Linked DNA regions of Cricetulus griseus. The protein of the gene in region 2 purifies or fractionates together with the protein of the main gene of each other region. This does not show direct contact. Links are inferred from orthologs where the notes say so. Each region holds a gene or a part of one and is shown on either strand. Other genes may lie near its edges.

Region 1 (4,131 bases), about 31 Mb from region 2:
AATAAAAAAAAAAACCCAAACATGAGTGTGGCAAAGTCTATTGCTTTATTATCTGCTACATCTTATATTTCAAATACATAAAATATGATGAAAAAATATCGCGTTACCCAAAGAGTGCTTCCTTATCAAACACAGTGTCTGCTGGCATATTCACAGGGATGAGGAGGTCTGGATGTGAGTCAAAATGTAAAAAGCGTATATTACTGGCAGGAAGATGCTTCGAACCAATGGCCCGGTATATGAAAGGCAGAACCTGTAACAGAGACGCGGACACACTGAGAAATTCACATTGTCAAGTGCAGACTCAAATAAATAAATAAATAAATAACTGCACAAACTTGAAGAACCATGTTGTTATATAAAATTTCTTTACTGTAGATGGCTCTGATGAATATCTCCGTCTTTATCACCCAGAACCACTCACTCCAGCACTAAATGAGCTTTAGGACATTTTGTGTCCCTTTAGGATGGTGAAGCTAGGCTGGATGACTCCTTCACCCTATCTGTCCAGGTTTACTGCTAAATTTGAAAGCACAGACTTTCAAATTTGTTGACTTTCTTTTCCTCTTGTTCCATCAGTAAGTCCCCTTGCCCCACTTTTGCCTGGGAGGAGGGGTTGAACCCAAGGTCTGTGGCAAACACTGTACCACTGAGCTTCATCTAGACCAAGTCTCCTACACCCATGGACCTCACTGGCCGTCAACCAGAAGTCTACGTAAGGTACCCACGTTACCACAGCACTGCCAAACGTTAACAAAGCCTGAAGATTTAGACCCCAGTTACAGCTCTATAACAGGATCTACAACTATGGTCCCCATTTCACAGCCGAAGGTGCACGTTCTTGGCCAACCCTCTCATCACACAGCAGAATGATTCGTTGGCAGGAGACAGGCGGGCAGCCAGCGTCAGATGCTGGTCAAGGCTCTGCAGGTCGCCAGGGTTCGAATCCCTCCTGTCATGGCTCGGGGGCGCCTGCTGCCGGCTCACCTCCTGGTGATCCTCCACCACCCACACCGGGAGCCTGGGGTAGCGCCTGAGGCGCGTGTGGTCGCCTCCGGGGTCACTCATGTCTTCACGCGACTCAGGCCGCGGTGACCCAGAGAAACCCGGAGAAGCACCCGGCATCTCCAAACCGCGCGCCCCACTGCCCTTTCGCGGCGGAAACGCGCGCTCACCCGGTTGCGCTTCCGGATTGGAGGACGTCAATGTGGGGGGGCGGGTGTGAGAACGATAGGCAGTGTCGATTGGTCTAGGTGTCCGTCACTCTAGCTGACCCGCCAATCACGGCGCCAAAGGTGCTGCGCTGTGCACCGCAGAGTTTTCCCTCCCTAGGCTCCTCTTTTTCAGGTTTGCTTTTTAATTCCCGGTGTTTCCTGTTCCGGAGGCGCGGGCGGCGCCTGTGCCGTGGAGGCTGTTGTAGTAACCAGGCTTGGCTCTGGCGGCGACCCGGGGACTCTCTGTAGGTAAACGGGGGCGCTTGGTGGGTGTTTGGAGAGAGAGCATCCAGGGCTGGGCGAAGTGATCCCGGGAGTTGGGTCTGGCGGCCTCGGAACAGATCTGCCGCCGAGGGAGAAAGAGCTACCCTAGCTACAGATCCCACAGAAACGCAGGAGAGGGATGGGGTGGGCGCCTTTCGTCTGTTTGTGGAGCTCAAGCTACGGCCCAGGCCCGGGGCCACCCGGGGCGGGAGGGGCGGCGAGTCCCGGAGTCCCGCGCTTACCTCGCAGGCTGGCGGGAGATGCAAACCAGCGAACGGGCAATTGAGCATCCGCCAGGAGGAGGCCGGGCTTCAGGGCTCAGCCATGGCAACGTGCGGGGTCTCAGTTGACTTGTATGTAGTCACACCTTGAAACTCCATGTGTCCATTGACGTTCCGGACTGTATAGTGTTCAGAATAGCTCCCTCGGTTTCCCTGCTTTTAAACGGCAGCCCAGGAATAGGCATTTTCCATTTACATTGAATTCATTGACTTGAATTGAACTTTGCATCCATAATACAATGGTTCAGTATTTTTTAGCTTTTCTGACTGTAGAAACGCCCAGGGTGGTCTGGTAGTGAGTGTTCCATTCCAGTTTTACTTTGTTCAGAGGTGTTAATTACCCTGACTGTTGCCCACCTCTAGCTTCAGTATATTCCTTTTTGTTATCTTGGACACTTTACACCCTTATTTTCTTGTGTTTATCAAATTGAATTTTTCTTTTTGTAATGTTGGAGATATTTTATTATTATTTAAGCATTTGTTTACGGGTTTTGAGATCCTTGAGCCTTGCAGGTTTGTGTGCCATATTTGTCTACAGAGCTCGGGACAGTGCCTCATGTGTATTGGGTCAATACATGATGCAGGAGTCAGTGAAAAATGTCCGCTTCCCAGTTGGTTTCCCAAATGCAGATTTGTGGGAGAAGCAGAAGGAAAATGCAAACTTAGTGACACAGAAACGCACACAACGAGAGTAAAACCTGCCTGCCATTTATTGTGTGTAGAAGCTGTGAAGGATGCAGAAGTGACTGAATGAAGCCATGATTTCAAGGATCTAGTAACATAACGAAGGAGTTCAGCATGGGTACCCATGACTGTTACATGAGGCAGTTTCTGGTAAGTTCTGTAAAAGGAGTGAGTCGCTTTGTAGACCCTGTCTGGAAAAAACAAAATAATAATAATAATAACAATAACAAAAAGAAAGTATAGACTAAGCAGTAGCAGTCTAGAAGGGATGAGATTATGTTCCCAAAGAAAATCAAGAATGCTTCACAAATGAGGTTCAATAAGAGGTTGGTGGATGGATAGGAATTCACTGGACAAGTTAGGGAAGTTTCATGATAGTGCTGGGTATGTCAACTCATGAGGCTCACAGGGCTTGGTGGAGATGGAAATAGGATGATGAACCTGGGAGAGATTGGGTTCAGGTTCAGATGCAGAGCATGGAGTTTGTACTGAGTTCGTTCTTTTGGCTGTGAGGAGCCTGAGGTGCCAATGGTAGCTCTTTGGCTCCCAAGTTGAATCATGAGAGTATTAGAATGAGGAGTATTATTTGGTAACTATGTTTATTAGATAGTAATTGGTAGAACTCAGTTATTTGTCATTTTTTTTTTTACCTTGTCAGTTCGAGAAGAAAGGCAGGCATTTTTAAAAAGTTTATTTATTTTTATGTATGTGTATCTGTATGTTCGTATATATGTGCATTAGTCAGGGTTCTGTAGAGTTAAAGAACTTCTGTATGTACAGAAAAGGGATTTATGAGAATGTCTTACAGACTGTGGCTCAGCTAACCCAATAATGGCTGGCTATGAATGGAAAGTCAGGAGTCGCTCAGTCCTTGAGGCTGGCTGTCTCAGCCAGTCTTCATTATATTCTGGAATCCTGAATAAGTGGGCTCTAATGCCAGTGAAGGAATGGGCTTGCCAACAAGGCGAGGGCAAACAGGCAGAGAACAAAAGTTTCCTTCTTCAGTGTCCTTATATAGGCTTCTAGCAGAAGGTGTGGCCCATAATCGATCTAAATTACAGATCTGAATTAAAGGTGTGTCTTTCTACCTCAAAGATGTTCTTTCAAAGTAGATCTACCCCCTTCAAATTAAGAAAATCTCTCACAGGTGTGCACCCTGTATAGTTAAGATGACAACCAAGAAATAGCCATTACAGTATGCCTACATTAGTGGTTGTCAACCATGGGTTTCGACCCCTTGGGTCAACAAAGTGATTTCATGGTTGGGGTCACTGCAATGTGAGGAACTATATGAAAGGGTTACTTACTGCATTATGAAGGTATATGAATGTATTTGAATGTATGCATGTGTGCAGGTGCCTCCAAAGGCCAGAAAAGGGTATTGTATGTATCTCTTGGCAATTGTGAGCCACCCAACTTGGGTGCTGGGAACTGAACTCTGCAAGAGCAGCAAGTGCTCTTAACTGCTGAGCTAGTCTCAGCCCCTAGAAAGATGTTTCCACATTAAGGCCTTTTGTGTTTAGTATTTGTGTACTTTTTAAAGCATTTTGCCAAAGTTCAATTTATGTTGGCATTGTTCTTCTGTGGGACGAGCTGAGAATGAAGGTAAAGAATTGTAACTTGTGTTAGCAAGATTGTGGGTCTATTTGAATTTGAATGCAGGTTTCACTGTGATTTGGGGGTTGGAT
Region 2 (4,127 bases):
TCATTAGTACCCATATCTCATGTGACAGAGAAAAGGCATGTGAAGTGATGGTTTCTGGAAAGCCCTTTTGAAAGACCATTCATCTTACTATAATCTCAATGTCCAGCATAGATTCTGGACCTGACAAGGCTTGAATTCTAAGTCTGAAACTTACTATGTATATGTACTCTGGGAACAAACTTTACTTCTTTGAACCTTAGTTTTCTATGCAGAGGACAGCACTGCCACTGACTTATCCATTTAGCAAAATCACTGGCTACCAACCCCAGTGTAGTTTTTTAAGTGGTACTAGAGATTCTGCAATAGAATAAAACCAAGTTTGTGGACTTAGCCAACTTCCCCCACTTGCTGTGGCAAGCACTTCTCAATGATCTGCAAACTACCAGGACATAAGGAACTAGCGTTCACCTTTAGTGTATTCAAAAGAACCAGAACAAAGAGTTGTAATCCTTTCCTCTCTAGCCTTCATCTTTCTTTTCTTTTTTGAGATAGGGTTTTCCTGTGTAGCTTTGTAGAAGAGGCTGGCCTCGAACTCAAGAGATCAACCTGTCTCTGCCTCCCGAGTGCTGGGATCAAAGGCGTGCGCCACCACTGCCTGGCCTTATGTCTTTTTTTTTTTTTTAATACCCTTTACAATAAACAGGTAAGTCAAACAAGAATACAGATACAGCCACTTGCATGAAAATAGAAACTAATTGTTCCTAGAATAATCCAAATATCACCCTTATCTGCCTTACTATGTAAAAGTAGAGGGCTTTATTTTGATGATATTCAAATAGGACATTTTAAAATCTCATTTCCTTATTCCCTGTCAAACACTACAGACTCAGAAAATTCAGTGATAGCTACTTTGAAGAATTTCAATTTCGAGACCAGCCAGTTTGGGGAGAGGTGGGGCAAAATCTACAATCTAAAACCCTCTTCTGTCACTGTCTGGTGTAGTAGTAGGTCTACACTTGTGATCCTACAACTTGGACACTGAAACGAGGCACATTCTAGGCCAAATGGGGCAGATTAAGACACACATTGGATATTTCATTCAGTAGGCAGAACTGAAGTAACTTATTCATATCACTGCTGAACCAACACAACAGAAAAACATATAGAGCCAAGTACCCCCATCAGCCCCCTTTCCAAAGGCCCTGACTTTCAGTTCAATCAGTGAAAGAGCTTCTGAGTTGGCCATTCCACTCCACTTGCAAAATTCTCAGCACAATTTTCAAACACCCAAGAAATAGAAAGCCAGGTTTTTTCAGTCTTGCAAAAATGGCCCAAACCCAATTTTAAGAGTTTTTTTTTTTTTTAGCCTAACTCAATTGAGTTTAATGTGGCACCTATTCTTGCTGTAATCTAGTACTGCTTCAATCTTTCTTTCTTTCTTTTTTTTCTAGACAGGGTTTCTCTGTGTAGCCCTGGCTGTCCTGGAACTCACTCTGTAGACCACGCTGGCCTCAAACTCACAGAGATCTGCCTGCCTCTGCCTCCCAACTGGTGGTAATCAAAGGTACACGGCATCTCAGGCTGGCTAACGCTGCTTGAATCTTGATCAAGAAAAAGATTAAGCTTCTAAAATTAAGATACCTTTACAAACCTAACTAAATTTTCTTTCCTTCTACAAGCAACCCCACACCTAGTACTTTGGAAACCATTCCCTTACTTTGACACAAAACCCACCGTAGCCCAGGCAGGCCTGGGTAACCAAGCTCCTGCTTTGATCTCTAGTGATGGGACCACTGGCCTGGACCACCTCAAGAGGTTCTCTTGGTTTCAATAGCTTTGTTACTTAAGACTTTTTCTTTCTCCCTTTGAGGCAGGGTCTCACTATGTAGCTGTGGCTGTCCTGGAACTCATAATGTAGAACTCACAAGAGATCTACCCATCTCTACCTCCTCAGTGCTGGGATTAGAGGTGAGCACAACCTCAAACAGCCAAGACTTTATTGCATCCAAATATAAAGCACCCGAAGTTTATCTAGATGTGAATTGTTTCTTTTATCTAGGAGTCAGGAACAATGTTGGCATACAGCTTTTAGGCGTACTGATTCCTGGGCAAAATTCAAGAATTTTTCTAGCAACAAAACACTAAGCTTCCTGATTGTGTATGTGTGTGTATATACATACATACATATATATGTATATATATTTTTTCATCCCCTAGCTTAGGCCTTAAGGTTAATTCTGCAGTAGAATTGGATCCTTAAGAGGCAATAAATAAAAATGTCGCCTGCACTTCTGGATCTCTCAACTCCAATGTGTTTCCAATGAACCAAAATATGACCGAAGAGGAGTTAAGACCTCATTTACAATCAGAAAAGGCCTTTTCGACTGCAGTCCCGCTAAAGGGGATGCCTGGAGACATAACGGAAAGGAAACCATCCGGGTTCTTTCCGGACAGACACTGCGGCGTGCAGGGACCAGATGAGCTGCAAGGCCAAGCGAGGCGACACGACTGGCCTGCCACCTCCGAGCCACGACGGCAGTGCGCAGAGGGGCCCGCCCGGGCCCGAGGCCCGCGCACCGCCGCCATTGTACGTCGCGAGCCGCGGGCTACCCCGCCCCCCGCCTGCACCTCCCCCTTACCCTCCACGGTCTCGGTCCCGGTCCCGGTCCCCAAAGCCGCCTCCGCGCATGGTCCCAAACGGGTAAAGATCTGGGAGCGGGGCACGGATGGCCGAGCTGGGGAGGGCCTGCGGCTCCGGTCTAGTGACGACCGATGGTGGCGGCGCCTCCGCTGTTGGGGCGGCGGCAGGCGCGGCGCTCTCTCGCTCCGACGCGCTGTCTCCCGTCGCAGACGCCACCGTCGCCGCCTCTCTCGTCGGAGACGGTAGCAAAACACAGAGAATCGGGGTTGTTAGTGCAGTGGGGAGATTTGGTCACGCTCAAACCGGGCGGTGCCACGGTTTAGGCGTCTCCTTTCCTTCCCAGCGACTGCACAAAATGGCGGCGGCGCTGAGACTGCTCCAACTTAACGCTACGCACGGCCGAGACGCTACGTAAACAGCGTCTGGAGGAGCCCGAGGGCTCGGCTCGGTGCTATAGACATTCTAGGAAGCGTTTTACGTCCGTGACGGAGATGGGTGCCCTTGGCGGTCCACCTAAATAAGGCAGTGTACGTAACTGGCGTACCGTTCTCGCGCCGCCAACTCTAGAACGTGGGCTGGGGGTGGGGCGCGCCTCCGGCGCAACGTAACATTGTTTGCGTGGTTGGCCGGCCCACTATTACGATGATGCGCAGTCTTCGTAGCGCATTCTGTTTAGAGAATAGACTTTTCCCAGCATTCCGAGCTCAAACGGCACTTGAGGCTGGCCTTGTGCAGACACAATAGCTGCCCTCCATGTTGTCTGGTCAGGTTTCGGGGGTCTGTGGTATAGAATCTGAGTGGCCTTGGCCCCTCGCCTCGCCGCCCCGGGTTCGCCAAGCTAGGAGCGCATGCCAGCGCCATTTTCTTCCGTTGCTTTTCGCCTAGCTGGCGCCGCAGCCATGTTGGATGCGTCGCGCCGCTCTCTTTACCCGGCCACAGCTCAACAGGGTTAAAAGACGCCCTGTGTTTCCCTCAGTAACGTGCGTTTCCCGAACAGACTTTTGTCACCGTTCCTGCTGGGCGCAGTTGGCGCGCTCACACAGAGGCCACCCTTCCTGAGGTGGGCGCCGATGGCCTCGCTCGGTTCCGCGACTGCAGAAACCCAGTCGGGGGAAGGCAGGCCAGGCTAGGCTGCGGGCGCCTCCCAACTCCCAGATTACTTTCTTTTGCTTGCCATCCCTGCGCACTGCCAAGCCACACAAGCTTGGCCATATTTGATTTACAGAATTGTGAATCTGCTGCGTCCTTGATACCTCTGGTCTTATTTCTACAGATGCGGAGAAGGGAGTCTGTCAGCTTGGAGGCTGTGTTGTCGTCTCCTGTTCTGAGTGTTGCCCAGATTATTGGAAAGCCAGGAAAGTAAAGGAGCCTCATTTGTCACTTCAGCCATAGATTGAGAAAGTCGTGGAGAGCCAGGCTTTGTGCTAGTTGCCTGAATGCTTGGGGAACCAACATATTCCTTGGCTCAGAATTTGTAGAGAGGGAGTCAGATGACCAATGTTTGTTAGACAGTTGCTAACTTGGAAAAAGAAAATGGAGGGATGGG

The links. Proteins that work in one complex are often made in the same cells at the same time.
Region 1: the proteins of Ddx17 (region 2) and Drosha purify together in Homo sapiens (co-immunoprecipitation; 3 studies listed by IntAct, with this or other methods). This does not show direct contact. The link is inferred for Cricetulus griseus from reciprocal best matches to the Homo sapiens genes DDX17 and DROSHA.

What each region holds. Positions count from the first base shown.
Region 1 is NC_048595.1:345,840,806-345,844,936, forward strand, and holds the start of Drosha (ribonuclease 3), read left to right. Parts: upstream 1-1,303; 5' UTR 1,304-1,459; exon of another isoform or gene 1,460-1,463; intron 1,464-2,371; exon of another isoform or gene 2,372-2,481; 5' UTR 2,482-2,593; intron 2,594-4,131. Other genes in the region: C2H5orf22 (UPF0489 protein C5orf22 homolog), read right to left, coding at 108-253, 988-1,125. UniProt on the Homo sapiens protein: Ribonuclease III double-stranded (ds) RNA-specific endoribonuclease that is involved in the initial step of microRNA (miRNA) biogenesis.
Region 2 is NC_048595.1:376,715,304-376,719,430, forward strand, and holds the start of Ddx17 (probable ATP-dependent RNA helicase DDX17), read right to left. Parts: upstream 2,840-4,127; 5' UTR 2,630-2,839; coding exon 2,580-2,629; intron 1-2,579. UniProt on the Homo sapiens protein: As an RNA helicase, unwinds RNA and alters RNA structures through ATP binding and hydrolysis.